4 linked regions of the Arabidopsis thaliana genome follow. The protein of the gene in region 4 interacts with the protein of the main gene of each other region in a biochemical or structural test. Each region holds a gene or a part of one and is shown on either strand. Other genes may lie near its edges.

What was found.
Region 1: the proteins of MYC4 (region 4) and JAZ3 form a complex in vitro, tested with the Arabidopsis thaliana proteins (2 studies listed by BioGRID).
Region 2: the proteins of MYC4 (region 4) and JAZ12 form a complex in vitro, tested with the Arabidopsis thaliana proteins (one study listed by BioGRID).
Region 3: the proteins of MYC4 (region 4) and TIFY10B form a complex in vitro, tested with the Arabidopsis thaliana proteins (one study listed by BioGRID).

Annotation. Positions count from the first base shown.
Region 1 is NC_003074.8:6,116,598-6,125,450, forward strand, and holds JAZ3 (jasmonate-zim-domain protein 3), read left to right. Parts: upstream 1-3,109; 5' UTR 3,110-3,370; coding exon 3,371-3,455; exon of another isoform or gene 3,456-4,485; coding exon of another isoform or gene 4,486-4,531; coding exon 4,532-4,731; intron 4,732-4,991; coding exon 4,992-5,206; intron 5,207-5,281; coding exon 5,282-5,372; intron 5,373-5,453; coding exon 5,454-5,757; intron 5,758-5,854; coding exon 5,855-5,915; intron 5,916-5,991; coding exon 5,992-6,094; 3' UTR 6,095-6,447; downstream 6,448-8,853. Other genes in the region: TDX (tetraticopeptide domain-containing thioredoxin), read left to right, coding at 6,937-7,049, 7,169-7,202, 7,364-7,504, 7,600-7,687, 7,764-7,844, 7,928-7,992, 8,152-8,292, 8,379-8,492 and 1 more. UniProt on the Arabidopsis thaliana protein: Repressor of jasmonate responses. Jasmonoyl-isoleucine (JA-Ile) specifically promotes COI1-TIFY6B/JAZ3 interaction. Acts as a negative regulator of MYC2 function. Feed-back regulated by MYC2.
Region 2 is NC_003076.8:7,087,349-7,094,485, forward strand, and holds JAZ12 (jasmonate-zim-domain protein 12), read left to right. Parts: upstream 1-3,355; 5' UTR 3,356-3,534; coding exon 3,535-3,659; intron 3,660-4,049; coding exon 4,050-4,152; intron 4,153-4,226; coding exon 4,227-4,407; intron 4,408-4,498; coding exon 4,499-4,556; intron 4,557-4,566; exon of another isoform or gene 4,567-4,756; coding exon 4,757-4,853; 3' UTR 4,854-5,191; downstream 5,192-7,137. Other genes in the region: AT5G20890 (TCP-1/cpn60 chaperonin family protein), read right to left, coding at 1-221, 321-806, 1,060-1,136, 1,362-1,477, 1,649-1,720, 1,819-1,947, 2,049-2,160, 2,250-2,315 and 2 more; AIP2 (RING/U-box superfamily protein), read right to left, coding at 5,315-5,464, 5,546-5,758, 6,033-6,229, 6,318-6,522, 6,795-6,962. UniProt on the Arabidopsis thaliana protein: Repressor of jasmonate responses.
Region 3 is NC_003070.9:28,146,572-28,153,942, reverse strand, and holds TIFY10B (TIFY domain/Divergent CCT motif family protein), read left to right. Parts: upstream 1-3,496; 5' UTR 3,497-3,684; coding exon 3,685-3,832; intron 3,833-4,151; coding exon 4,152-4,329; intron 4,330-4,421; coding exon 4,422-4,699; intron 4,700-4,786; coding exon 4,787-4,844; coding exon of another isoform or gene 4,845-4,848; exon of another isoform or gene 4,849-4,936; coding exon 4,937-5,024; 3' UTR 5,025-5,368; downstream 5,369-7,371. Other genes in the region: FAB1 (fatty acid biosynthesis 1), read left to right, coding at 1-24, 260-328, 466-550, 660-814, 890-970, 1,094-1,153, 1,263-1,379; AT1G74940 (cyclin-dependent kinase, putative (DUF581)), read right to left, coding at 6,878-7,037, 7,151-7,371. UniProt on the Arabidopsis thaliana protein: Repressor of jasmonate responses. Jasmonoyl-isoleucine (JA-Ile) specifically promotes COI1-TIFY10B/JAZ2 interaction. Activated by MYC2, MYC3 and MYC4 transcription factors.
Region 4 is NC_003075.7:9,930,947-9,938,674, reverse strand, and holds MYC4 (Basic helix-loop-helix (bHLH) DNA-binding family protein), read left to right. Parts: upstream 1-2,989; 5' UTR 2,990-3,203; coding exon 3,204-4,973; 3' UTR 4,974-5,349; downstream 5,350-7,728. Other genes in the region: AGD8 (ARF-GAP domain 8), read right to left, coding at 1-16, 99-374, 465-897, 1,221-1,339, 1,477-1,554. UniProt on the Arabidopsis thaliana protein: Transcription factor involved in jasmonic acid (JA) gene regulation. With MYC2 and MYC3, controls additively subsets of JA-dependent responses. Can form complexes with all known glucosinolate-related MYBs to regulate glucosinolate biosynthesis.

The sequences.
Region 1 (8,853 bases), on a different chromosome or scaffold from region 4:
CAATTTTTTCATATAAATCCACAAATAACAACACATTATTAATCAATATCTCTATTCCATTACTTAACAAAAATGTTATTTTCGTAATTTTAGATAACAAAGAAAACGATCTTTTGTTTTCTCGCAAAATAAATAAATGAAAATATTGTTTAAGTGCTGATGATCTACAACTACAAGATGTGATCTAGCTTATGTGAATCCGAAAAGTTTCCACTAACACAGTGCATGCATCCAACTTTATGCGGTCCATGGCAAAACAACAAATCCTCATTGGCTCATTGCGATACAAACTTATTATGACTATTAGATTTGGGCCATTCCTTATTACATTTTGGGCCCATATTAGTCGGACTTTTATATTAGTAATGGACATGTCAAGGGAGAAGAGTCAGGCAAAACGATCATACAAGTCACAAGAGATAAAGATGGTTCAAGATGAGTTCGATCTACTTCTCTTTATTTTCAGATCAACAGTTTTGTAACTATTTTTTATTTATTTTTCAGTAATTTTGCTAGCTAAATATTAAATGATGTGTTCACGTTACGTCTATATCTCAATTAATAACATTACTTTCTGCTTTTCAATTATCGAATAGATTGAATCCAAATTTTTTTATGACGAAATAAATTACTATAATGGTATGCATCATGAGTGTACTATTGTATTCTTGCATGTGATTTTTGATCAACATGGTGTTTTTGTCATTACTATCAAAAGACTTCCATCGCTGCGATATTGGATTGTCAGAACTCGGAAAAAAACAAATTATGTCGTAGCTCAATTCCACGAAAAAGTCTAAAACAATAATTAGCAGCTCTATATAGATAATCGAAGGCAAAGGTAATTGTTTATAATTTTGCAAAAGCACGACATATAGGATAACGTGCACTCTTCAAAAGCTATTTAGCAATGCAATCACGGTGGAATTTGTGCATGTAATCTCTTAGCCTAACATAACCAAAACCTATGGTGACATCTTCTAGACAGATTGGGGAAACTTCTTCTTCGTCTTTCCCTAAACTCCCCTTGTTCTTCTCCACCATGCACAGCCCTCTCTAACTTCCATGAAATTCCAAGACGTGGAGATACATTTTGGCCCCTGAATCTTCTCAGCTTTATACGTACACCTCCATCGTAAATTATTGCGGAGGCGTAAACGGTGAAGGCGCCGTAAACAAGGGTCGAAATTAGGCAAACAAGTCGGCATACGATGTCAAGAGCCCACGAAAGACTAATTGCTTCTGGATGTCCATAATTACTAGCAAATAAGTCTATATCAAAATAAAAACTAAAATGTAAGTATTAACAGGTGAGAAATGACCAGATCATTAAGTAGGGAGGCTCTTCTCTGGATCTGGCTCGACGTCGACGAGAAGCAGGATGAGCCATCAAAGGATCCACTAAAGCACCAAACTCAAAAAAAAGAGAGCCAAATATTGCAACTACTCAAGTCAGTCTAAATATAGTTAAATGCTGCGCTATATATCATGCATATACATATGTCATTTGATTTTCTCTTTGCCATTATTTACTCTCATTCGATTTTAATACAAAATTATTTAAGTTGTTGTTGTAAACAGACGTTGCTGTTGCTGTTGAGTTTGATTTAGAATAGTTAAGTTTGGTTTTGGTTGGAGAAAAGTTTTCGTTGTTAAGCCAACTCGTGATCATTTAATCTGTTCTTTTTTTGGTAGGGGGTGATCATTGAATCTTTTGTTTTGAGTTTTGTATGTCTATATAGAGTCTAATACCATTAAAACAAAAAAAATGTCGTGGTAACCAGAATTAAATGATGTAAAAACAGAAAACAAGAATTAAATGTCGGATGTAAAAACAGAATTAAATTTCGGATGTTTTATGTGGATCATAGCGTGAGAGATGCGTTTATGGCATCTTTTGATATAATCTTCGCTTTGTAGGTCCACTTTTGATCTGATCTGATCTATTATCTATATGGAATGTTGTGTATATAATAAACTGCAGTGTAGTATTTTCTTAATAATGTGATATTAATATCTAAATTCTAGGCTGGAGAAAATGACGTGTGCTGCATATCCCCCAGACTCGAAATAACGATGTTATCGTGGGAGATGATCGTCAATTTTTTTTTTGTTTAGAGATCGTCAAGTTGTTGTGATCATTGACTCCTTTCCATTTTTTCTATAGATTTGAATTTTAAATATTCATTTTCATAAAAAAATGAAAACTTTATTATTATATTTGTGAGATAATTAGATATGTTTTAAAACATTAGTAAATTTAGTATAGTATTAGTTTTTACTAAATTAAGAAGAAAGTGACGCACGAAATGGCGTAATTTCCTCCCCCGGACCACATGCATCTTATAAATACACAAAAACGATGTCAACGAGTGATTTTAGTAATATGTACATTAAAGTAATATTTTCTTTTTGGTACCAATAATTACCTTAATTAATACAAGTATAGTTTAAGCAACAAGCAACATTCTTTAATAATTCGCGAAAAATATTAATAAAAGTACAATGACAGAAAAAATAATTAAAAATTGGATTAAAAAAAATAATATTAGAGTGATGACATAATCACATGAGGATTTAGATTTAGCTTAATAATGTTTAGTTGTGGAACTAAATTTCCGCAACAATTATTTTGTTGTATTTAAATCATTTTATGAAAGTCTAATCTTTACAATTACTTTATAGTACCATCCGATTAATCAAAGATTAAAAATATAGTACTAAAATACAAATTAATATATTTTGCCAAAAAAATGCAACGTGCAAATGTTTATCTTGGTCAAGAGAACGTGCACGAAAGTAGTGTAACTAATTTTACTATTTTAGATTGAGCGGTGAGACAAAAAGGGGGTTAGACTCACGCGCTACACTTAGCGCGTCAGCCGACAAAAAAAAGTGTTGTCATTGAATAAAAAAATAAATTAAAACTGCCGCTTCGCATCTCGTGAATCATTCACGTTAAAATAGCGCACGTGCCTCGCCACGCGTCTCACCACAAAAAGAAACGCCACACACTGCACGACGATGCACGTGCCTTTTTAACCGACTATATCCGGTGACGTAACCGGGACAACCTGTAGCTGGTTTTTGCGCCAATAGGATATGAGAAAAAAGAATCTTTTTTTTCTTGTTATAGTTATAAATTAATGGTACGATTCACATGTCGCATGCGATTTGTTAATAAAACTAGAAATTGCGGTGAATTAACTTCATTCCACGTTTTTTCATTTTCTCCCTCAAAAGTCTCTGTTTTTTTTCCTTTTTCCGGCGAAGCTCTATTTAGCTTGATTCCGGCGTTTAACACGCGTTTTAATCGAAACAGACATTTGAGATCGAATTAATTTTGTAGCGGGCTGTGTCTTTATTATAGATGGAGAGAGATTTTCTCGGGTTGGGTTCGAAAAATTCTCCGATCACTGTCAAGGAGGAAACCAGCGAAAGCTCTAGAGATTCAGGTTATTTATTACTCTTCTCAATTTTTCTGATTCTGATTGTTTTTAAATCGTAGATTTGTTTGATTGATTAGGAGTTATTAGGACTACTTGTAGTATGGAATTTGTTTTTGGATAGCTGATTTTATGGCTTGCTCGGGAACTGGAATTGTCAGTTTGTTGCTTGGAGCAGAACATTGTCCTTTGCTTTTCTCGGGAGATGTAGAATTTGGATTTGGAAAAACTAGTGTTCTTTTCCAAAGCCTTGTCTTAAACATGCTTTCGGTCGGAGAAATTAACGAGAACTAATCTCAAGCTTCTAACATAATTAAACTCGGTAAACTTTTTTTTACTAGAGTAAATTTTTTTGTTTTGTTTGAAGAGTCTTATAATTGAGAAATACTTTATTAGTTTATACTAAAAAAAAAACGAATACGTAAAATGTTGGAAAAGAGGGGATGTATAGAGACTGATACAAAAATGATAAAATAGAGACGGTTGGTAGTAGGTAGAAAGATTAAATATACTCAAAAGAGTGAGTTGGATTAGTTTATAAGATGATTAACTTCTTGATTGTGTGAGTTGGATTAGTTTATGAGATTATTAAAATATTGATTGTGTATTTGTGTTGTGTGTTGATTAAGCGGAACTTGCGTTAGAATATTGTTCAAGGTACAATGTGGAAATAATAGTTTTCTCACCACGAGGAATATAATTATTTCAACTTTGTTTTCTTATCAGCCAAAACGTGCCACACCATAAAAGTAGTGCATCAACATGTGGTGTGGTGTGGTGGGGTTAAAGTTTGAATCTCTCTTTAATTTAAACTATTAAAACAAACTTAAATTATTGGAGTTTCGTACAATGACTTTCAATCAAATGTTTTAGAATTAGACACGGTTTTCGAAAGTGGTTTTCCCTCGTTGAATTTGTCAACAGTATCAGATTCTACATTGTTGGTTACTAATCTTTTCCTTGAAGTAGGTGTTGAATTAATCCTCTGTTGTTTATGTAAGGAGATCTCGAGACATTTATGGTTAACAGTTAACACTACATGTTTGACTTTAAACTGATTATCTTTTATTCTTTTTCTTTTGTAGCTCCCAACAGAGGAATGAACTGGTCTTTCTCAAACAAAGTATCAGCTTCTTCTTCTCAGTTTCTATCCTTCAGGCCAACTCAAGAAGATAGACATAGAAAGTCTGGAAATTATCATCTTCCTCACTCTGGTTCCTTCATGCCATCATCAGTAGCTGATGTTTATGATTCAACCCGCAAAGCTCCTTACAGTTCTGTACAGGTATTTGTCATCAAAACCTATGTTAACCAAGACCCTTGTGTTTTTTTTATCCTTCGCAAGATAGCTTTAAAAGTGAGCCCTGTTTTATGAGCATATAGTAATTGGTTTTGAGTCTAGTTTAGCACAAGTTCATGGCAATTAGTTTGTGGATCTAATCTTGGTTTAATACTGATTCATTTTAAGTGTAAGCTAAGCTTCTCATTTTTGATAAGTTAGTTCATACAATGCCTCACACCTACTTTATGGCTTGTTACTCTCAGGGAGTGAGGATGTTCCCTAATTCCAATCAACACGAAGAAACTAACGCAGTTTCCATGTCGATGCCGGGTTTCCAGTCTCATCATTATGCACCAGGAGGAAGAAGCTTCATGAACAATAACAATAACTCACAACCTTTGGTAGGAGTTCCTATCATGGCACCTCCAATTTCAATCCTTCCTCCTCCAGGTTCCATTGTAGGGACTACTGATATTAGGTACCCACTAGTCATCATATCATACAGAAACTCTTTCTACATTTTCATAGTTGACTAAAGACTTATTTTTGTCAGATCTTCTTCCAAGCCAATAGGTTCACCTGCGCAGTTGACGATCTTTTATGCCGGTTCAGTTTGTGTTTACGATGACATATCTCCTGAAAAGGTATCTCAATCATTTTCTTCCATATATGCATCTCTTTTACTCGTAAGGTATGGTACTCATTTGCTTTCTTTCATTTCTCAGGCAAAGGCGATAATGTTGCTAGCTGGGAACGGTTCCTCTATGCCTCAAGTCTTTTCGCCGCCTCAAACTCATCAACAAGTGGTCCATCATACTCGTGCCTCTGTCGATTCTTCAGCTATGCCTCCTAGCTTCATGCCTACAATATCTTATCTTAGCCCTGAAGCTGGAAGTAGCACAAACGGACTCGGAGCCACAAAAGCGACAAGAGGCTTGACGTCAACATATCACAACAACCAAGCTAATGGATCCAATATTAACTGCCCAGTACCAGTTTCTTGTTCTACCAATGTAATGGCTCCAACAGGTAAAAAACAAAGTCAGAGACCTGATACTACATTCGCCATCTAACTTACTAGTATTTTCATGGATGTAACTTCATTCTCGTTCTGTTTCTTATGCAGTGGCATTACCTCTGGCTCGCAAAGCATCCCTGGCTAGGTTTTTAGAGAAACGCAAAGAAAGGTACGCAACACTTCTTTAGAATACACCATTCAATAGTTTCTTGGGCTAACTCTCTTTCTCGCTGTGGGTTTCTCAGGGTCACGAGCGTATCCCCATATTGCTTAGACAAGAAGTCATCGACAGATTGTCGCAGATCAATGTCTGAATGCATTAGTTCTTCTCTCAGCTCTGCAACCTAATTTCATCTACAGTAAGAAGGTTGCTTTAGACCACTCCACATCCATATTTGCATTTCAATGGCGGTCTTTTCAATGTCTCAGTTAATTTTTCCTCACTCGCCACACTGAGTTTCTCCTTAGCTTTATATATACGATAGTGTATACTTTGTTTACATGTTTTTTGGTGGAATGGAACTTATGAGAGCATATCAGATATGTACTTGGGAAAATTAGTAGAAACTGTTTGTTTCTTTTTTTTTAACTCTGTTCTTTTGTATATATCACTGAAGCTCGCATATGTATAATTCATGTAATGGAATTGCATCGCTTCTGTTTCCCTAAGTTATTTCTCTAATCAATTTTCTATTCAAATATGGGGATTTTTTTAATAGGATTTGCTAATTTGTACTCTGGTTAACAATAAGCTTGATACATTACCAGTTACCAACTCGAATTCACAAAAGAAGTCATCATTATATATGGAGAAAATGGAACATCTTTTAGAATTTGCTTTAATTCGTTTTGGCTAATTATTTTTCGGTCTTCGTTTTGGCTGTGAGTTTCTTTGTAACATCCTAATTTCAATATGTGGGCCATTTTGTGTTGTAGCCCATCAAGGCCCAATGTCTTATTGCACAACGAAAAGGGATGTTGCAAAAGATGATAAACCGGATATGAATTCAGTCGCGGTTAAGTTAACGCGAAGACAAAACCGGTTGGACATGTTCGGTTTTCGGCGATGATTATTTCAACGTTTTTCAGTCTAATCAAAACCAATACGAGCAGACACAGCTCCGTACGATCACAAGGATTCACTGATTTCTAAGCTTTTCATAGAAAGAAGAAGAAAAAGGCGGAATTCGATGGTGGATGCGATTCAAGTAGCTGAGCTGAGAAGATTCGTCGAGCAGTTGAAATTGAATCCTTCGATTCTCCACGATCCTAGTCTGGTTTTCTTCAAAGAATATCTCCGAAGGTGATTCATTCTTCTCTGACTTATCTTTCTTTCGGTGAATTTCATTTGTCAGTTGAATTTTTCCATGGAGCTGTGAGTTTCTTTGTAATCGATGCTCGTTCCCGTCTTATCGTGTACAGTTTAGGAGCTCAAGTTCCGAAGATTGAGAAAACTGTAAGTTGTCTTTCTTATGAATTATCGATGTTTAGGTTTCTCTTGTTTGTGCTACTTGGGATTGAGTTCTTAATATCTTTGTGTTGAATTGATGTACAAAACCCTTTTCTAGGCTTCAACACTATCTAAATGTTGATCGAATAGTTAACTATAAATTGCAGGAAAGAGATTATGAAGATAAGGCTGAGACAAAACCCAGTTTCTCTCCTAAACATGATGATGATGATGATGATATTATGGAGTCTGATGTTGAACTCGACAACTCTGATGTAGTTGAACCAGACAATGAGCCTCCTCAGCCGGTAGGTGTTGAAGTTATCATCTTTGGATATTATGTGGTGCTTGTGTCTCTATGCATTTTTTTACCTGATTGGATGATTTTACTTTCTTGTCTTAGATGGGAGACCCTACTGCTGAAGTGACCGATGAAAATAGGGATGATGCTCAGTCAGAGAAGAGCAAAGCTATGGAGGCAATCTCTGATGGTACATAACTACCGTTGAAATTGGTTTTGATTATCTACTTCATAAGATTTCTCCTTAATGCTTGATTGGTATACAGGGAGGTTTGACGAAGCTATAGAGCATCTAACAAAAGCTGTCATGCTAAATCCTACTTCAGCGATTCTCTACGCCACTAGAGGTAACTTTCTTTTACTAGTTCACTCTCCCTTTTCGGCTGAATGTGGGTGATAATACTCAATATTTGTGATTGTTGTCCTGCAGCTAGTGTGTTTTTAAAAGTTAAGAAGCCAAATGCTGCAATTCGTGATGCCAACGTAGCGTTACAGGTGATCATTTCTCTTGACATAAACTTGTTTTGTTTGTGCTGAAAATGGATTTGGTAAAACAAGTTTATGTCTCAATAGTTTTATGGCTTGGGAGAGTGATTTTATATCTCAATGGTTTTCTTCCATAAACAAGCTAAACTAGTTTATTTTGGGGTTTAGTTCAACTCTGATTCAGCTAAGGGGTACAAATCACGAGGTATGGCTAAGGCCATGTTAGGCCAATGGGAAGAGGCTGCAGCTGATCTACATGTCGCATCAAAATTAGATTACGATGAGGAGATAGGGACAATGCTTAAGAAGGTAATTGCGGAAACCTCTTGATATCACTGTATGGTCCTTGAGTTTTACAGTACCAAATATATATGCTGAAAATGTGTACTTCCCAGGTTGAACCCAATGCAAAGAGAATCGAAGAACACCGCAGGAAATACCAACGCCTGAGGAAAGAAAAGGAGCTCCAAAGGGCTGAACGCGAGAGACGGAAACAGCAAGAAGCCCAGGTCAGACCGACTCATACCCATAATTAAATGTTGTGTAGAGTTACATTCTTTTGATTATCTTCTTAGCAGAAATCACATAGGCCTGATTATCTTCTCCCTGTGAGAGTTAAAATATAACCTCTTCTGATATTATCAATATCATATCATATCAAACATCTCACGCTCATTGATTTGCTTCTTGCTCGTGAATCCTATCAATGCAGGAGCGAGAAGCTCAGGCTGCACTCAATGACGGTAAACATTTTATCCATTTCTTTCAACGGTTTTCTACTTCATGATATTTTTGCAAAGAACTAATTATGTGTTGGAACATTTATCTGTGAGTCTTGCCCCAATGAATTGTCTTCACTCAATAAGAAGC
Region 2 (7,137 bases), on a different chromosome or scaffold from region 4:
TGTCAGCGATTGTTGTCGGTATAGCAACTAGAGCACGTGAGAAAGCTTCAATGGCATGAGATTTTTTGCCAGCAGTTTTCCTTGCAAGCTCATCTACTTCCTTTGCCATCACCATCTCTGGCCATCCACCTCCAAGCAAAACTCTAGTATCATTCACTGTTTGAGAGAGTACACATAAGGCATCATGGAGTGATCTTTCAGCCTCATCTAGGACATGGTGACTGCAAGAAAAAAGAACCCATACAAAAATTGATTAGTGAATTAGAAACAGAATAAAGTTTAGACGAAGTCTTTCAAGTAATGGGAGTGAAAATGGATACCTGGCCCCTCTTAGGACAATTGAACAAGCCTGGCCCATTTCACAACCAGAGAAATGAATCAACTTGTCTTCACCAATCATGATTTCTTCTATAAGCTTGCAATGCCCAAGCTTAACAGACTCTGGGTTGTCAAAGGTCGAAGCAATTTCACCACCAGTAACCAAACCAAGACGCTCTATTCCCTCAAAGTCAGCATGCTCAATAGCAAGTATACCAGCATCAGCAAAGAGTTCCTCAGGGAAATTGTAGATCAACTGCCTGTTAACAAAGCAGTTGATTCCGTGGCCTATGATCTTCTTCACCTTGTCTTTCATTTTTTCCTTCTCAGCCCCTTCAATCTCAGCAACCTTGGTCATGGAATCCACACGGACACGTGCACCGTAAATCTTCACTTTATCGGTATCCATAGCAGTATTAGCTACTAAGATATTTGCATTCTCTATGCGCTTAGGCTGCCCAATTCCTATTTTCTTGTCAAGAATAAACCTACAGGCATAGATTTTAAGTTGAGGTGACATGAGACCATATTACTCGATAGAAGAAGAAACACAACACAACAAGATGACATGATGACTATCAACATTCCAAAATAACACTATAAATGAAATTAAGGTGCGTAAGCTATGAAGAAGAAAAGAAACACGACAGAGTTACCATGAACAGATGAATACTAAAGAAAGATCAATAGCTCAGAAAACTGAATTTGAACTGACGCCAAAGGCACAAAGTGTTGTCTTACCCTTCATCCAAAAACGAATCCTTCAGAGACCCTCCAGGTTTTTTGATGATCTGAATAGCTTCCAAGTTTGTGCTTCCCTGTTGAACGATAAAAGCAGAATGTCAGAAAAAAATCATATAACAATCCAAAACGAAACGATGCAACTATGGGAAAGACTAATGGTGAAATGATAATAGCCTAATTTCATGACATTTCGTCAAAGGAAGATCTTCTTTCATGAGATAACACATAAATCAAGAGAAAAAGAAGGAAGGAACACATGACATTGCTGAATCAGTTTCAAAAGGAGGAAGAAATGGAACCTTTAGCCTGAAAACAGCATCCACGGCCATTTCTGCAAAATGTTCCTTGTCCTGTGAGAGAATTTTGGAACATAAAGTAGTCATCGCAATCTTCAACAAGTCTGACCTAAACTTCTCTGCATTGACAAAAATACAATGCTGTAAAATAACAGTGTGATTTCCGTTCTGTATTCAACTGAAAGGAAATCACCGCTTGAACCCAACAGTCGAAGTAATCACACAAACAAGAAAATGCTATACTTAAATATGTCAGCATAACAAGGTTTAACCATCTCTATAATGATTACCTGCATTGTCCTTGTTATCAATGACTCTTTTCAGTAAAGCATTACGAGCACATTCCGAAGCCATTCTGTAACCTAAGAAACCAGAAAACGAAAAAATTAGAAATCATTGCCATAGTGAGAGAAGCTGATACAAAGTTGACATCTTAACACTTAAAGCTCCAAAAGTGTACCTGCTATGATGGTCATAGGGTGAATCTTAGAAGCCACAAGCTTTTCTGCTTCCCTCAGAAGCTCGCCGGCCAAGACAACAACAGAGGTAGTTCCATCACCAACCTCATCATCTTGAACTTTCGAGATGTCTGAAGAACAAACCAGATACAACGAACTGTGAGAGAAAACCCAACTAAGAAAAAACGAATGTGAAAACTTCATGCCAGAATGTCGCAGGGAAATTACATACCAACAAGAACTTTAGCTGCAGGGTTGTCTATGTGAAGTGACTTGAGAATAGTAGCACCATCGTTAGTAACAGTGACCGCATGACCTCTACCAGTAGATTGCAAGATTTTATCCTAAACAATAATAAAAAGGATTCAACAATAATCAATAGAACCAAATTGAAAGTTTGTAGCTTTCTAAATATTCAGAGATCGGAAATTACCATGCCCTTTGGCCCTAAAGTAGACTTAACCAGATCACTGATAGCCATTGCACCAACAAATGATGCCTAAAAGAGCAACAACAAAAGAAAAGAAAATCAGATTTAAACAGTAGAAGAGTGAATCTGAAAAACCCTAAATCCTAATCGATTCAAAAGACTCACCATCCTCGCACGTTCTCCCTTCTCTTCACTAGCATCATCTTTGAAGATCTTATCGATCTAAATACGAAATAGCTAAGTTCAGTTAACGGAGAGCACTGGGGAAAAGCAAAAGGATTGAAAGAGACGACGGAGGAACATTACCGGCATCGGGAAGAGCGGAAAAAGAAGAAGGAGGCTTCTTCAGTATCGGAGATATCCAAGTTAGTCGAATCTGAGACTAGCGAGAAACAATAGATGGGATCGTTCACGAAGAACGAACAAGCCGAGAGGATCTCGAAATATTGAGTGTGCTTTTGAAGAAGAGTAGAAAATGAGAGGAGAGAGCCAAAACCCAGATCTTTCGGAACCCTAAATGAAACTCGTAAAGACCAAACTACCCTCGTATTTCCCAGATTTCTTATGCGCCCTTCAGTAAAAACTAAAAAGTTTAGATTAACCCTTAACCAAAAAGTTATAAGTTACATTAAGAAGTAAATTTTATAGTTTCGACAATTTTGCATTTTGTTTGATTATATAGAGGAAAAAAAAAAATGTTCCATATACAAATTTGAATTTGGTGATGATTTAGCGGTCGAATACAAAAACAGAAATAAATTAATTCGTGATTTGTATGCGAATATTGTTACTAAAAAAAACTATAAATGTAAAGAGGCTTATAAAATAGAAAGAGAAACATTATAAATGTAAGCAGTCAAGGTCCATTTTAGAAGTCATTTTAAGACGACTAAGCCCAACAGTACTTTAAGAGCCCAATGAATCAAGGTCCAGCAAACTCAATTAGTTTAACGTCTCAGCCACTTATAAATTATACACGTTTGGAGTTCCGGATAACCGAAATGAGAAAGCATGTCCCACATAGAAGGCCAACGACACCGTATCATATTCGAGCACGTTTCTAATTACCCTCTTGTTGTCTTTTACTGTCGTAGCACCAAAAGTCAAACAATAAAAATCAATATCTATCGCCAGGTGTCAAATTACAGGAGCTTCTGAGAAGGATAAATCTCGGAGGTTCCCGGTCTGAACGACGTAGAGACGAAGCGAAACAAAAGTACTCTAAGGGAGAGAAGTATCAAAATTCTCATCGGAAAAAGACAGATCTACAAATTTTGAGAGACAAGCCATGACTAAGGTGAAAGATGAGCCACGCGCTTCCGTTGAAGGTGGATGTGGTGTTGCCGACGGTGACGGCGGCGCGGCTGAGATCGGCGGTACCGGATCTGTTGAGAAATCGATTAACGAAGTTAGGTATGAGCTGTGTTTACTGTTGATTTCACATGTTTTTATCTGTTTCTCTCTTTGCTTTGAGTTTAGTACTTAAAATTGTATCTTGTTTCTGATAAGGAAGATCAGCATTTCGATCTGGTTACTTTAGTTTCTATTTAGGGAAAGTCATATTTCTCAATGGAACCAATTTGTTTTTTGGCTGGAACAATTGGATTCTTAACAAACTTGTGTTTTTCAAAGTCCTTTAATGCATACATAAGTTTTCATGTGAATTTGATTAATAGAACTTCACCGTTAACATGTGAAATTGGAGAGACTGGATTCATATGTGGAGAGTTTTCTTAATGTTGCATCAATAAGTCCATCTTTATAGTGTCGGTCACAAGTTTAATAGATCTTCTGCTATTGAAGGTCCACGGAGATTCAAACCGCTGAGCCAACGGTTCCTCCAAATCAACTTACTATTTTCTTTGGTGGAAGTGTTACTGTGTTTGATGGACTTCCATCAGAAAAGGTTGGTCCATTAGAGCTTTGTTGTTGTCAGAAAAACTTCAGAATTTCTGTTCTCACTGTGATCTATGCCTATAGGTTCAAGAAATCCTTCGTATTGCTGCTAAAGCAATGGAGACAAAGAATTCTACAAGCATCAGTCCTGTCTCATCGCCAGCACTGAACAGAGCTCCTTCTTTCTCAAGCACATCTAATGTGGCATCACCAGCTGCACAGCCATTTCCTATTCAGCCAATCTCGTTTTGCAGATCCACGGCTGGTAAGTATTCGATTCAACTGGTTATAGTAATCTTCAAACCTTGAAAATGGATACTCTCATTAGTTTCTTACAATTATGTTTGCCGTAACAGATCTACCTATTGCAAGGAGGCATTCGCTTCAACGATTCCTCGAGAAAAGACGGGACAGGTATGCAGCCTTTAAAATTACACTTCATCCTTCTCCATTTCAATGGAAATTCAAATCTGATCTATTTTATTCAGTTTTTGATTGATTACTAATACAGAGCTTGTTAATGTACCTGTGAGAGACTTGTAAAGACAGATTGATCATAATGTTTAACCTTGATATTGCATCTAACAATAACATTCACTTTTTTTTATCTGCAGATTGGTCAACAAAAACCCTTACCCTACTTCAGACTTCAAAAAGACAGATGTCCCAACAGGCAATGTCTCTATCAAGGAGGAATTTCCAACTGCTTAGCAGAAGATCAAACCTCCACATTAAGCTTATAAGCAAACTAAGTAAAACGTTTTGTCAATATAGTAATTAATATGATAATCTATCATGTACGCTGCTGTGTGTAATGTGTTGTATGATAGTGTCTGTATAGGTTTGCTAGACAAACCGAAGATTGTTTCCATGTCTGGGAGTGGTCAGATATGTTTGCCATTTTACAATTCTACTGAAGAAACTATTGTAGTTAGTAACACTGTCCTAGAGTCTATCTAACTAATGACTCTTTGATGTTATGTTATTGAACTTGTCATCTCTTCAAGATACAATTGTGTGTAAAGTAAAGAAGTCTGTGTTGTTATTATAAGCTTTCATACAAAAGACATTGAATCTATATGTAAAATGGGATTTATAATTGTGAATGATGAACAACAATTCGGAGATGTTTCAAGGAAAGACAATGGGAGTGTGCCATAACTGATTGAAATTTAAACGTACATATATTCACCTCCGCGGACAGCATTCTCTGCGCCCTTCCTCTCTTCTTCGGCCTCTTTCTCTCTCTCTTTCCAGTTTTCGTATTTCTGATCGTCTGTTGGTAATTCATGGCGGCATATAGGGCAAGAGTTATGCTCGTCCTGCCATAAAACAATATGAGCATAAGCTTTATGTTCTTACTTACTAGTAAGCTTGAAAGAATGGGATTTTTTTTTTTATACCAGCCAAGGCTTTAGGCAAGGAGGGTGAAATGTGTGCTTGCATGGCAATTCCTGCATCTTGTCGCCAATAACTAGATTCTCCTTGCAGATGCAACATTCTGCCTCTGCTCCAAACTTTTTAAGCAATTCCTCGGTGAAAATAATGACTGGGAGTTTCTCTACAACTTCTTTACTTGCCGGTGGAGCTCTTGGTGGTCCACCATCATCTAGTATCTGCATAGAACACATCATATATCACTTTTCAATCATGAAGCTAAGAAAAAGACGCTACCAATACAATATTAGAGGTTGAGGTTAAACACTCTTGATACAGATGAGTGAGACAACCAAGTGGAGAAACTCAATATGCAAAAAACAACATATGAGTAGAATGCGGATGATTAAGAATTGCTTTCATCTCTATCTTTAGGTGAAGAAACTTGTGATATCAGCTATGTGTGATAGTACATAATCTAAAACTAGTAAGGAAGAAAAGAGAAGGCATTACATCTGGAATGATCATGTCAAGACCATTGATAAGTTCTTGCATCAAGTTAGCAGTTTCCCCAATAGTGTTTTCAGTAGGACCATTAGAGGATTCACCACCAACGATAGAAGCGAAAGCAGACATGAGATTCTGCTGTACTAGCCACTGAGGCTGTGGCGGCTCACGATCAACCGTAAGATGTCCCTCAAAAAGATAACCTGCAAAAAATTCACAAGAGAAATAAAAATCATCTCCAGATAAATTTCACTTAAAACCATCAAAAGCCAAACTAAATGTTTCACAAACCTTGTGAGCTCTCTGTTGGCTGATTATCTACTTCGCTTAACTGCTCCTTAGCTTGAGCAACGCAAGATTTCAAATGTTTCTTCTCAGAAGCATCAGAGACAAGTCGCTCAGCCTCTTCGAAAAGACTCAGTCCAGCAACCCAAAATCCAGTAGCTGTATATCTTGTCTTAAGAACCGTAGCGACACGAGATACAACTATATAGAACTGCAATGGCAATCAAATCAATACTATGTCACAGAGGGTAACTAAACAAAAACAGATCGGATTAAATGAAATTTTTGACATGAACATGAACTTTCTCCACAATTGAAATAGAAAAACAATAAAAGAAAGATATTTGATTCCTGATTCAATCCTCAAAAGTTAAACCCATCATCAGACATAAGCAATGAGTAAACGTCAAGGCAGGCATAAACCCTAACAATTCCGAATAATTTTGAATCTATTGATCCGAAAATCTAAGAATAAAAACCAACCTGTTTGCGGAGAGAAGGAGAGGAAGAAGAGTAGTGATCACGGAGAAGATTATGAATAGAACAAACGGATGCTTCGAATCTCAGCTTTTTGTTCAGCTGTTTCTGAAGATCATCAAGCTCAAGCTTCAAGCTTTCCTCGGAAGGAGACGGTGAAGACGATGCATCCATTCAGAAATTTATTTCTTAGAGTTAAGGAGAATACTCAGGGGTTTCGAATGATTTTGGGGATTTTGTAAGAATGATGCAAAAGAAGAACCAATCTCTTGTCTTCTGGGATTTTTGTAGGAGACGAGTTTTCTTGATCAGGAGGAAAGGACGAAGTCGGTCGGTTAATATAGTTCAG
Region 3 (7,371 bases), on a different chromosome or scaffold from region 4:
AAAGCTTCACGTCCTTGGGATACCGTAAGTTTAAACAATTTCGTGTCTTGTCTTCTATTCCTTTTGTTACTTGCATGTTTTAGTACCCTTCTATGGTTTTGTTTTAATCTTGGTGGATGCTAGAAACACTGTATCGAGTTTTTGCCAACAGGAATTTCCCTTACATTGTAATGTTGTAGGAAAGAAAGTGTGAGGAAACGTGCGTATTATGTTTGGAAATTCTTCTTGTTTTGTTAACCTGGTCTTGATTGCATGACAGAATCGAGATGGTTTCGTGATGGGAGAGGGAGCTGGAGTTCTACTTTTGGAAGAACTCGAGCATGCTAAGGTATATAACTTATTCGTTCTTTCTGTCATTTCTTGTTTCCCATTTTTAAATCACAAAAGAAACTTATATCCAAAGCTTTTTTTATTGCTTGCTATGGAACGAGTTGTGAGAACATAAGTATTCTGCTTTTCTTTCAGAAAAGAGGTGCAACTATCTACGCAGAGTTCCTCGGTGGGAGTTTCACATGTGATGCCTATCACATGACCGAGCCTCACCCTGATGGTAGTTTCATTTTCCCCTAATTTATATTAGTCTGCTAGTCAACTACAAATTTGAAATCTCTTTTTTCTATAATTTTTTTGTCATTATCCCATTTTTCTTAAATCCGCAGGGGCTGGTGTTATTCTCTGTATTGAGAGAGCGTTAGCTAGTGCTGGGATTTCCAAGGAACAAATAAATTACATAAATGCACATGCAACCTCAACGCATGCTGGAGATATTAAGGAATACCAAGCCCTTGCTCACTGTTTTGGCCAAAATCCTGAGGTAGCTTCAGTTCTTTGTTACAAAATTCCGAAGTGCCTTTTTATGTGCTTTTCTTGATCTTTCTCGATGTGGCAGCTTAAGGTAAATTCCACAAAATCTATGATTGGACACTTGCTGGGAGCTGCTGGGGCCGTGGAGGCTGTTGCAACTGTGCAGGTAACTCATTTGACTCGGTGTATCTACAAGGAAGGAAGTGTTGTTGAAACCAAGTTTTAGCATAGAGCGAAATTATGTGCAATCTTCGCATTTTTAATGTTAATATTCTGTTGCTATCTACAGGCGATACGGACCGGATGGGTTCATCCAAATATCAACCTCGAGAATCCAGACAGTGGAGTGGTATGTTAGTTTCATATGAGTTCAATACCTATACAAAGACCTTTTAATGTTCGTAAAAAAAAACTCTTGGGAGTTTTAATAATCGTACTGTGAAATGAAATTGGAGCAGGATACAAAGCTGCTGGTGGGTCCTAAGAAGGAGAGACTGGACATTAAAGCAGCCTTGTCAAATTCATTCGGGTTTGGTGGTCATAACTCCAGCATCATTTTTGCTCCTTACAAGTGAAAGCGAAAGCAGTTGCTTGTACTCCAAACCTGATTGTATAACTTGCTGTAAGGTAAAAAGTTACATCCATTGTACATTTGTGTATCATCAGATTCTTAGAGGAATTGAAGGACAGTTAACTCTTTTGACCTTTCTATATTTATTACTTTGGCTGAGATGGATCATTGGCAATAATGAATTGGAAGTTTGTGCAAGTTCCCTTTGAAGTATTGTCGGTCCAGAAATGCTCTAAAATGATTTGGGATGGACTAAGAATTTGTTATGAAGCTGAGTGTTTAAATTATGTGCAGTGTTTTACAAGAAGTTTCCCATGTTATGCTAGTGTTACGTCGAGGGAATCAACAGAGTTTGTTCAACTACCAAGAGCTAAGCTAAGTTTCTTAGGATCAAGATCTGATGAGCCAAAGACTTGGACAGGAGCTAAAACGTGCTAGAGATATCAGAGTTTGGATTCGCCATTAAAATTCTGTTTCTTGTGATACCTTCTTATTGGAAATCTTTGTAGTCTTTACATTTCTATTGTTTAACATGAAATCTCAAAAAATGCCAAATCAATTCTCAATTTTAAATTTAGTAGCTCTTGACAGTTTTCCCTTTGTTAATTACATATATAGAGAGTAACTAAATCATCTTTTGAAAGGTAAAAACTAAAAAAATATATTCCAAGGGCCCAATGTTTTACCACTTTCATATGTAAGCTTATTTTCTGTTAAATATGTGAAAGAAAGAAGAGGAATGAATCAGCTGTGAAAACCAAGAGCAAGTATAAAAACATGGCTAAAAGGGTATCAATCAGCCTTGTATAAGAGAGCCATAAGTAGATAAAGTTTCTACAGTAAAAACAGGAATATAGAGTACTATTCCTTAATTAGCTTATGTTCTTCTATTCTTCTTGTGACCTCTATCTTGCATTTTTGTGACCACCCCACTTGCCTTCTTCTTTTTGGTTGCATACTCTAAATAATATCCAGACTTTGATGTCTTTATGCGCTCTGGGTTCTTCTTGTGACCCCTCTTCCTTGTAATTGTATGTACCTGCAGCTTCTTCTGATTTTGTTTCTTATGGATATGTTTGTGATGTATAAAATTTTGTGAAGATGTTTATAAAACAGTTAAAAACCAAATTAACCAATCATCCTTATTTTCTCACGAGCCACTCTATGAACCTTACGTTATCTCGATGTACCTGTAATGAGTTAGCAATTACTACAATCCAAGTCAATAAAATAACAAGTTGGACGTTACGTTATAAAAGAAAATCAAACTTATTTGTGTGTTCCTAACAAACGCATGGGATAATAACAAGAGAATAAAAGACAGAGTGATAGGATCAACGGCTATTGTGCGTAGGAGAACACAGCTGCTATATAAGCCGCGTAACAGGTGATTACTCTGACTACGACACCAACAAGAAAAATTCTCTCAAATGTGGGCAGTTAAGTTAGACACGTGTAAGGTCGCGATTCATGGAGGAGACGTGCTCTTCCCGCTTTTTGTAATTATTTATTACTGTTGTCATAAATAAAACACTAAAAAAAAATTAATAAAAGGGAAAATACAAAACGTGATTTATGGATCAAATTTGCATTGGTGGTGGAGTTTTGGTTATGTAAGACCCACACCGTGTTCCCTCTATCTAACGCCGTTAATCCTCTTTTTTCCCCCAAATCATACCGTTAATTCTCTTTGAGTGCTAAAATATCACGCCGGTCTATGAGATTAAAATAGTAGACTAATTAATAGTGCTAAAAATACATAAATTAATGCCAAGAGATTCATCTTAAAAAAAAGGATATATGAACCAACTAAATGGTATAACTGAAAGACTATCATAATCAAATTTCATCTGAACATTGATTTGTTTGAACTAATTAATTTTAGGATTTTACGTTTTCATAATTTTTTATTTTATTTGAACATCTTGTAAGGGTAAAATGGTAAAAACAGGAGTAGTAAGAGGGTGAAATGGTTATTTCAAGTGTGAAGCGTGGGGACGTGGGTGACGGTGGTGATCTGAAACAGTGGTCTGCCGTTAAAACATTAAATTAAAACACGTGTTTTAAATGTCTCTATGTTAATTAATACTATAAGAGTATATTTTACTAATTTCCGTATCTGCAACCAGCGAAAAAAAAGTAATAAAGAGGTCCTCCATTTCTTCCTCGTGACAAAACGCACTTGGCAGAGAAAGATAAACAAGAACCCTAAGTTTTTTTATAAGATTCGAGAAAATTCAACAACTCAGGAAGGAAGATCCTTTTGCTCCAATTTCTCAATCGAAACGATTTCAATTTCGGTTTCAACGATGTCGAGTTTTTCTGCCGAGTGTTGGGACTTCTCTGGTCGTAAACCGAGCTTTTCACAAACATGTACTCGATTGAGTCGTTACCTGAAGGAGAAGGGTAGTTTTGGAGATCTGAGCTTAGGGATGACATGCAAGCCCGACGTTAATGGTAATCAACCTTTCTCTTTTAGATCTGTTCATTTCGTTTCTGCGAATTTTGAGTTTCCTGTTGCGAATTACGAATTATGAATCGATTACATGTTGTCTGGAAATTGAATCGTTGTAGAGAATCGATGATTAATGGATTTTGAATCAATTTCTATATATGTATGTATGTGTATGAATTTGTGGAGATGGTTCTGTGTTTGGTTTAAGCATAATCCTCTAAAGCCATAGGCCTGGTTTAGTCATTAAGTAGATTTTGTTTTGCAGTTGTTTGAGAGATTGGTGAATGATAATAATCTTTACTTTTGGATCAATTTTCGCAGGAGGTTCACGTCAGCCTACAATGATGAATCTGTTCCCTTGTGAAGCTTCAGGAATGGATTCTTCTGCTGGTCAAGAAGACATTAAACCGAAGACTATGTTTCCGAGACAATCAAGCTTTTCTTCTTCCTCTTCCTCTGGGACCAAAGAAGATGTACAGATGATCAAAGAGACTACTAAGTATGTGTTTATATGTATATAGTGAAAAGAATCGTCTCATATAGTAAGCTATGTTTCATCAGTTTAACTAATTTTTGTGTGATTTTGAACAGATCTGTGAAGCCAGAGTCTCAATCTGCTCCGTTGACTATATTCTACGGTGGTCGAGTTATGGTGTTTGATGATTTTTCTGCTGAGAAAGCTAAAGAAGTCATTGATTTGGCTAACAAAGGAAGTGCCAAAAGCTTCACATGTTTCACAGCTGAAGTAAACAATAACCATAGTGCTTATTCTCAAAAAGAGATTGCTTCTAGCCCAAATCCTGTTTGTAGTCCTGCAAAAACCGCAGCACAAGAGCCAATTCAGCCTAACCCGGCCTCTTTAGCCTGCGGTAATTGATCTCAGCCTCTTTTGGTTCAACCATCTCTGAGCTTGGCTTAGTCCTATTTCTCTAACTTTCTCTCTTTTTGATTTGTAGAACTCCCGATTGCAAGAAGAGCTTCACTTCATCGGTTCCTTGAGAAGAGGAAGGATAGGTAATGCATTTTAATGAAAACATAATATCTTGTTATTCCATAAGTTCTTGTTAAGCGAATTTCTCAATATCCTACTCGTAAACCTTTAACAGGATCACATCAAAGGCACCATACCAAATAGACGGTTCAGCTGAAGCGTCTTCCAAGCCTACTAACCCAGCTTGGCTCAGTTCACGGTAAACTTCGAGCCTGTCCGACCCAGAAGGCACAACTTGAGAGACCTTCTTGTAAGATTCTTCTGATGCTCCATCGTTACAAATATCAAGCTGCTCCTCTGTTCATTTTTTCTATAGATTAATTTCACCCCTAGTAGTTTTGTTTGTTTAACTCCCCCGAAAACTCATTATATTTGTATGAAATCAATATCAATAGTGTTCAATGTTTGCTTCTGGGGTTTAAGTTTTAGCCAGTGTGTATAACCCTTTCCTCTGCCGATCTCAACATTAGCTTGCAACTTTTGTAAGAAACATCACTTGTGTTTTTGTGTTGATGGCCATTAATATAATCCAAGTTTATTTAATCCGATTGTTTGTTCGTCACTTATTGAGAGCTGAAGCTTACAGTTAAGGAACAGAAATACTTAAAGCATTCTCGAAAATAAAGAAATGTCTAAAAAATGATGATTTTCTATCAAGTATTGTCGTGTGAAAGATTTTCTTTAACAAGTCTGCTATTGTTCAAAATACGTTTTAACCTATCTATCCATTATAGTATTAGCATTTTCGTTTTGTTGTTAAATACATGGCACAAACTATGTAGACTATTTTTGGTTAAAATACCAAGCCAGTTACAATTTTGTTTTTCCCAAAATACTAGTTATAACTTTGTAAAATATCCGAAGTCCATAATAAAAAGAGCTTCATAAATATCCAATAAGTGGAGTAGATCAGACCAGGCTTGGTAGGCCACGGGAATTCTGACCCACGATAACTTTTTTTCGTTCGGTCTTGAACAATGATTTGTTCGGTCTTGAACAATGATCATCCAACTAACAAAACGTAAATTTGGTCCAAAGACTGGTCCGAAATTCGTTATGATTAATAAGCCCGAAGAACCTAAGATCCAATTTTATCCGATTTGGAAAAAAATAACTGAATTTTTCAGCATTAACAAATCGCCAAGACTACGTAATTTGGATCGGACAGAATCGGCCCCGGACTTCATCTAATCAAAGTTGTTCAAAATGGTAGGGACTAAAGTTTTTACCAAAATATCATTGTTTTTTTAGTTGGGGAAAAGGATCTTTTATTAATTTCTGACAACGGGCCAGGATACAACAAGTTGCATATTTAAGGGCCCACGTGCATACATTGCACTAAGAATCATAATGATTTAAAACTCATAATTGTGTTTCTTCAAGTCTTAAATTTATTAAAACGTTATTTTGGTTTCTTCATTAAAATGATAGTACGCGTTCTCTATTATTTTTTGAAAGATAATTTAAGTTGTTTGTAATTAAGAAACTGAACTCGAGTAATAGCAAATTAGCAACACATTACATTTTTGAACGTAATTTTAATTTTATACCTCTATAAATATTTTGATTGGTAACGTTTTCTTTAAAATAAAACAGAAGTAAACCCACAGGACTTTGTATTTTTGATCAAAAAGTGTAAACATATTCAAACAAGTCTTCTAGCCACAAAGTTTTAGACTTGTGGAAAAAACAAAAAAAGACATGTGTATTGCACAATCTTACATTTTCAATTGATTGATTCAATGTTTTGGATACAGGGAATTGAGAAATTGGCATATATACATACATACTTGTTCTACAAAGCTATTTCACGAAATGATTATTGATTTATGTGATTCCGAGGAAAAGCCATAAACATTACTCGGTATTAAAAGTTAACAAAAAGCAAACTTCTATACAATGTGCTTTTTAACCTAACCAAAAATTTCACTTTTTTTTTTTTTGTTATTTTCTAACCTTTTTTCTTCTATTAAGGTAAAATGGAATGATGATCACTTTTTTTTTTATATATAAATAAAATATACTTCTCTTCGTATTATTGTGAATTGTGATCATCCTAAAATACGAATACTCCGGCAGATAATCTCTGTCCGGCGGCGTAAGGAGAGCTCAAAACGTCGGCGTTTCTTGAAACTTGCGTTTTACATTGCTCTTGTCGTTCGTCATTCATTATTTGCACTGATCTGCATTCGGCACTACAAAATCCCATCTCTCCTCTGCACACAACCCAAAAAAAAAAGGATCAGTTTCTAGAAAAAATACCAATAAAATATTGAATTAGTCTCCAATTTAACAAAGATCCAAGAAGCAATAATGCGATGAAACTTACTTGTACATGTATATGTCTTTGCCTTGAAGTTTCTTCTTACACAAGCAACACGAACTCAGAAACTCTGTTGGACCCCTAACACTCTGTCTTTCAATAACCGGTGGTTCATCGACGGTAACCATCGGTTTATGAACTCTCCGATAATCATTTTCAGACAATTCAAACCCGTCGTCGTTGTAATACACTTTGGTCGGCCCGTTTGGGCTCGTAACATAAGTGTA
Region 4 (7,728 bases):
CATCTGATTCTTCAACCTAGTAAGAGAAAAAGAAATGGTTTAGAAGAGGTTTGGAATTTCGATTTATTAATTTTGTTACTGAGAAATTATGTGTTTACTTGAGATTTTGAAGAGTTGGAGCTTGATTTCTTGGGAAAAGAACTGTCCATTCCAAAATCCGAAAAGAAGCTTGACGACTTTGGTGGAGCAACATGGTTAAGCACTTGTGTACCACCAACGCTTTGTCCTCCAGATTGCAGGTCGTCATTGTACTCAAACCGAGAGGCAAATGATGAACCAGCTGATGATTTGCTTTCCCCGTTATTTGTTGATGATACAGCGGGAATAACCGGTGCAACTTCTTCCGGTTTCTGCTCATAGAGATTGTCTTTTGGCTACATTTCACCAAAAACAAAATCCAATCTTTTAATCTGAACAAGAGAACAAAAACGTAAATGCTCCAAAAAAATACCCCTAAGACTTACCTTAGTAGTAAGCTTCCTTGCACCAAGACCACCAGTTTTTCCTGTCCTTTTAGCACCAATAGGTTTCTTAAACGTACTAGGCACAACTGTATTAGAAGCTTTAGGCGAAGAAGTAGCACTGGTAGCTTCATGTTTCGAAAGAGGTAACTCTTCCTTGACAGAATAAGAAGAAACCCCATTAGATACTTCCGGTAACTGAGAAGTAGCAACGGGAGATGACAGAAGACCAGAATTAGTTTCTTCCGCAATCGCTTTCGCAACTTCTTTAGCAAGAATCTGCCGATACAAATCAGCAGCTCTTGAAGTATACTTAGCTTCAATTTTGCCACCATCAGTCCATCCATGTTGCTTGAAGAAAACCTGAGCACGGTTGTTACCACCAAACATCATTGTCCTGAGCTGCTCCGGGCTCCAAGAGTCTAAATTCGTTGATCTATACAAAAACGGAAAAGGTAGCATCTTGAGAACGTAATGTGGCATTATTCAATATTATCTAGTCAATGAATCGATAATTTGAATGAGTCTAATTTCAAGACACTGGTGAAATTTTGAAGTCAACAATTCTGAAACCTTAAAACATAATCTGATGATTCAACCACACTAAAGTCAACGTAATGCTACACATTAGCCAACAATTCTGAACACCTGAGCACGGTTTAAGCTAATTCCCTTATAAAGGCCTCAAAAGCTTAAACCTTAGCCAAAATCTGAGCTAGAGTAATGCCGAAGAATTGGATCAGATGATGAATTGTTTACCTGACGAAGCTGATATGAACACCAAGATTCCGGTGAGTAGCTGAACAATCGATGCAGAGGAAAATCCCATATGTAACCGATGCCCAAGTTGGATTCTTCGCACTACAATCGAAGCAGACCTAAATTGGCAAATCAAAACCAAAATTAGCATAAATGAATCAAAGATCTAGTCAAACAACTCTCAGATCTAAACATACACAATATCAAATTGACGATACTCAAAGAAAGAGAAGAATTCAGAAAAAAATTTGATTACCTTGTTCTCAGATTTTGATTTGAGTTTTCTGAAAACAATGTTTTTGTCGGTAAGATTGTCAGCAGAAGAAGAAGCCATTGTAGATCAAATTGTTCAATTTGATCACCTCCTTGAAGAAATTTGAAAGATTTTTTAATTTGAAATCTTTCTTCTTCAAAATCTGTAAATCTAAAGGAAACAGTACTAACGTTTGATGGAAACATTTGATCTGACTAGACTGACGAAAACACCCTGAATAAACTCTAGAAATTACGAAAATGGCATTACGTAGAAACGACACGTAGTGTGTAAATTCCGTTTCTGAAGCAACATGGATGATATAAAACGGACGAAAGCTTATCATTTTCACCTTTTCTTAAACCTCAATTCAAAGATTACTTCCTAATTTGTCTAATCGTGTGTTATACATTTTTCGTATTAATATTATGTTTATCATATGGTTTAATACGTACAGGATTTGTTTTTAATATCTGAAGTTAACATGTATTAGTAAATTAAAATACGACTTTTTATAACTCCAGGTTTTCAAACTAACTAACGGTTTTCATTTTTGCCTTCTTTCCATAATATGTCTCACACATATTATATGCTAAAAGTTTCGCTATACTTGTTGTTGACCATACACTAAAAAATGTCAAATGTGAAATATTTGCGGGCTAGTTTTATTAACTACCCAAAATGTGTGAGGCCCAATATAAAGTAAAGCCCAGCTTAATTTGTTTTGTTTGCTTTTATGCGATTCCGAAATGTCACTGTACAGTAGACACTATAGTTTCGTCGGATATGAACATAGAGAGACCAACATTTTTGGGCATTTGCTCTCACTGAAAAAGAAAGCATATTATGAAATCTGGCCACTAAAAACACGAGACCCACACGACATAATGTGATTATTTTTGTGTGGTCGTATAATTTTCGTAATTAAATCTAATTCTGTTTTAATACTATACCTTTTATTTTCCTTTATGCTCTTGCGTCTCTTTCACCTTTGATATCAAAATCACCCATGTCTTTTTTTTGTTCTTTATCATTGCAAAAAGTTGTGTCCAATAACGAAGCCAACAAAAATATGTTTATAAGAAAATGTTAAACTACAAGTCTACAATATTTGCTTTATAGGTTTTGTATATAAATGTTGTATCCAAATCTTTGGTGTTAACACTCCCTTAATCCCTTTAAATCATATTTTCCTGCCTCAAAGAACAACTGCAATTCTACAAACTCATTGTTTAAATTAATTGATGCTACTTGCTTACAAGAATTAAATGATGGGATTAATCACAAGAAAAGCAGATATTGACACCAATACCAAAAGTGAGGGAGACAAGATCATTATTGTAAGTGAAATATCATTTTCATTCTTTAATTGTTCTTAATTATCAACTTTGATGTAAAAGGCTCCTTGACAAATTTGATCCGATTCTCTTACATAGATTAGTAATTTTCTTGTAAAACAATTACTATTCAGAAAAAAATTGTTTTCAATCAAGTTATGTATATAACCCAACTTCAGAAATAACTCAATCAATAATTCATATTTGGTGAAAATAAAAGTACTATTTCTTTTTCTTTAGAGTTAAAAAAAAAAAATGAATATAAACAGATTCCTTTTCCCGAAACAATCAAACCAAACACAAATATTTTGCTTAAAGAACTTACTTCTCTCCTCTGTCTCTCACCGGAAAAACAAAAAGTCTTCTCTTTTATAACTACGTCAGAGAACTGTTATGTCTCCGACGAATGTTCAAGTAACCGATTACCATCTCAACCAATCAAAAACGGATACAACAAATCTCTGGTCAACCGACGACGATGCATCGGTAATGGAAGCTTTCATCGGCGGCGGCTCCGATCATTCTTCTCTTTTTCCTCCACTTCCTCCTCCTCCTCTTCCTCAAGTCAACGAAGATAATCTCCAGCAACGTCTCCAAGCTTTAATCGAAGGAGCAAACGAGAACTGGACTTACGCCGTGTTCTGGCAATCATCTCACGGTTTCGCCGGAGAAGACAACAACAACAACAACACAGTGTTGTTAGGTTGGGGAGATGGTTATTACAAAGGAGAAGAAGAGAAGTCTAGAAAGAAGAAATCAAATCCAGCTAGTGCAGCTGAACAAGAGCATCGTAAGAGAGTGATTAGAGAGCTCAACTCTTTAATCTCCGGTGGTGTAGGAGGAGGAGATGAAGCTGGAGATGAAGAAGTTACAGATACTGAATGGTTCTTCTTAGTTTCAATGACACAGAGCTTTGTCAAGGGTACTGGTTTACCTGGTCAAGCTTTCTCAAATTCAGACACGATTTGGTTATCTGGTTCTAATGCTTTAGCTGGATCAAGTTGTGAGAGAGCTCGTCAAGGTCAGATTTATGGGTTACAAACAATGGTGTGTGTAGCGACAGAGAATGGTGTCGTTGAGCTTGGTTCGTCGGAGATTATTCATCAAAGTTCAGATCTTGTTGATAAAGTTGACACCTTTTTCAATTTTAACAATGGTGGTGGTGAATTTGGTTCTTGGGCGTTTAATTTGAATCCAGATCAAGGAGAGAATGATCCAGGTTTGTGGATTAGTGAACCTAATGGTGTTGACTCTGGTCTTGTAGCTGCTCCGGTGATGAATAATGGTGGAAATGACTCAACTTCTAATTCTGATTCTCAACCAATTTCTAAGCTTTGTAATGGAAGCTCTGTTGAAAACCCTAACCCTAAAGTTCTGAAATCTTGTGAAATGGTGAATTTCAAGAATGGGATTGAGAATGGTCAAGAAGAAGATAGTAGTAATAAGAAGAGATCACCGGTTTCGAATAATGAAGAAGGGATGCTTTCTTTTACCTCTGTTCTTCCATGTGACTCGAATCACTCTGATCTTGAAGCTTCAGTGGCTAAAGAAGCTGAGAGTAACAGAGTTGTGGTTGAACCGGAGAAGAAACCGAGGAAACGAGGGAGAAAACCGGCGAATGGAAGAGAAGAGCCTTTGAATCATGTAGAGGCAGAGAGACAGAGAAGAGAGAAGTTGAATCAGAGATTCTATTCTTTAAGAGCTGTGGTTCCTAATGTGTCTAAGATGGATAAAGCTTCTCTATTAGGAGATGCTATTTCGTATATCAGTGAGCTTAAGTCTAAGTTGCAAAAGGCTGAATCTGATAAAGAAGAGTTGCAGAAGCAGATTGATGTGATGAATAAAGAAGCGGGAAATGCGAAAAGTTCGGTAAAAGATCGAAAATGTTTGAATCAAGAATCGAGTGTGTTGATAGAGATGGAGGTTGATGTGAAGATTATTGGTTGGGATGCAATGATAAGGATTCAATGTAGTAAGAGGAATCATCCTGGTGCTAAGTTCATGGAAGCACTTAAGGAGTTGGATTTGGAAGTGAATCATGCGAGTTTATCGGTAGTGAATGATCTTATGATCCAACAAGCGACTGTGAAAATGGGGAATCAGTTTTTCACGCAAGATCAACTCAAGGTTGCTCTAACGGAGAAAGTTGGAGAATGTCCATGAATTGAAGTCAGCATCTTTAGGGCTAATACACCGGAGAATACTGCGAAAAGTCGAAAACAACGATCATAGTATAAGCCGCGGTAAAAAGTGTTAAACCTTTCACACAAGTTTCTCTAGTGAATGTAGTTGTAAACTCTATTGTGTAAGGGTAATTTTGTAGTACCCACTTGTTGCTATTGAATGCTTGTTAGAGAGGATTCTTAGTGTAGTATATGATTAGGTTGGGGTTTGTTGTTTCATGAGATAAATAAATGTGTTTGATCAATGGTTAAGTCTTTGGTTTGTTGGTGTATGTATGTAAATAAGGCTTTTGTTAGAAATAAGACAAATGGGACTGAAGTTGGAGTTTTTTGTTGTCTTTTGAGTTAAAGTTTGAGTATTTCACTTTCAAGTGAGTTTTTTGTGTTCATCATTTGGGACTAGTCATTGGGAAGTTGGCATCAAAAGAGGCATCTAATTTGTTAGGAACGAATATACCTACTTTTTTTTGTTTTCAATAGGGATAATTTAAATCAATCACAGCTATTTAGAGATTCCAATGTAGGACCTCAAAATTTATGTGGATGTTACATGATCATTATCGTTCTAAATAGTATTTTGAACCATAGATTACTTCAGAGTAATTAAGTTTGTCGCATAAATCATGATGCACAACATGCAAATGCTAAATGGATTTCTTGATATTGACAGAAGAAGTGAAACCACTAGAATAATACCCTTTAAAAAAATAAAAAAAAATCAATATATGTCATAAAGGTCCAAAATGGTGAAATCAAAATGAAACATGGGGATATAAACATAAGATGTCTTAAAAGGGTTGTGGGGGAGGGAAAGCGAGGTTATGAATCTTTGAAGAAAAAGTTAAAATCATACAAAAAAATCGTGGAGACATGTGTGGTCGATTATTAAAGAGATTTTTCTGCAACATATATTATTGTGTTTGTTTCCAAACATTTTAGCAATAATCTCCTCGAAAATGTGAGTGACAGTGCGAAGAGAACGTGTGAGTGATAAGAAGAAAGCATGCGCTTTTAAAATTATAGGGCACATTATCGCCAAATAAAAACAAAGAACGAAAGGAGACATTTATCATCTGTACATGTAATATTAACTATACTTTGTTTGATGATCGTTTTCTCATTCTGGATAACTTTAGATTAATTGTACGTAAAAGATGTACTAAATAGACTAATTCAGATTACAATTAGTTACCAAATGTACATTAAATAATGGCAATTTGATTACAATAGAGATTACAATTGGACTAGATTAAAACACTGTTTAGTGGCAGATTATTGACATAGTTATCATGCCGTAATAGTACGCATACATTCTAATGGAGTATTATAAAGATTTCAAGACGATCGAATATCCACCCCTTTGGTTTGCTAAATTTTCTTACCAATAGTATAATGTTGTTGCATGGTTGTCTGTGTCAAGAGTACTTTATTTGATGCTCCAAAGTGTGTGCGGATTTGGAATTTTTTAAACTGATCCATCACCCTTCATTTTGTATATATATATTTTAAAAGAATATAATATCAACAATTTGTTACAGATTTTACTTTTTAAAGGATAAAATCCATCGTCTCTGTTTGTTTTGAGATTTCTTTATTAAAGAAGTCCGTTTTTTTCTTAAGTTTGTTACGAAAAAGGAAAAATTAAATTTTGGATTTTCTTAAAACCTAAAACCCAAAAAGCCCAACAAAAGCTGGAAGTTTGAAACCATTCGAGCCTAGTAGCTATATGTAATATATTCATGTGTAATGAAGTAGCATGTGTCATGTGACATGGGCTGCCGAAAAGAAATTAGCTTATAACAAGGCTAGTCATTATTTAAAACGATATGATTCATTACATCTATCGTTTAAGAGAAATCAGATATATATATATATATACAAAGGCTTGATTCTTGAATGGACAAATTCAGTTTTAGCACGAGAGTTAGCGGAATAGCGTCAATCAACAAACTTAATGAATAGTTAGCAAATTCACAACAAAACATTTCCTGATGAGAGAGTACAAAATATTTCATTGCACGAACTTATTCTCGCAGATACGTCAATAGGACTGAGATGGAACAGGAGAAGTCTTTTGTTGCTTCTTAGAGGATTGTTGCTCCTTAGAGGATTGTTGCCTTGTCATACATAACATACATACTACGCAGTAGTACTTTATAAAAAAAAAACATACTACGCAGTACGCATTATTCATGCGAATAGCCAACATGTGAATACGCCAAACACCATAAGTTAAATACTCGGTATCTAAACCTTGGTGAGATCTTTCTTATAAATATAAGTCGAGACATCATTTATCAAAATCTACAAAAGGATATCACACAGAAAAAAAAAACACTTTTTAACACAAAACGTAATTAGGACATTACGCAACATCTAACGTGTCCAACCCTAATTGAGCGTCAAAAGGTTTTAGAAATTTCTAAATTATTATAGGCTATAATCTACTCCTTAGCAGTTTCAAATGTATGCACTACATTTCGTAAGGAATCACTGTCCATCTACTAGACTGCTCTCTAATTCTTCTCTTTAGTCATTGCTATCATCGTTTTGCGATGAAGATGACTTTGAAGACTCGAGCGAGGAGTGGTTTGTTGTCTTTGCCAAGAGAGCTGTGACCGCTATTGAGTCTTCCGTACATACAACAACATTTATTGAATCTTTCATTCATAACTAGATGAGTAAAAATACTTAGTTATATAATTGTATCATGCTATTGTTATTTACAACAATCG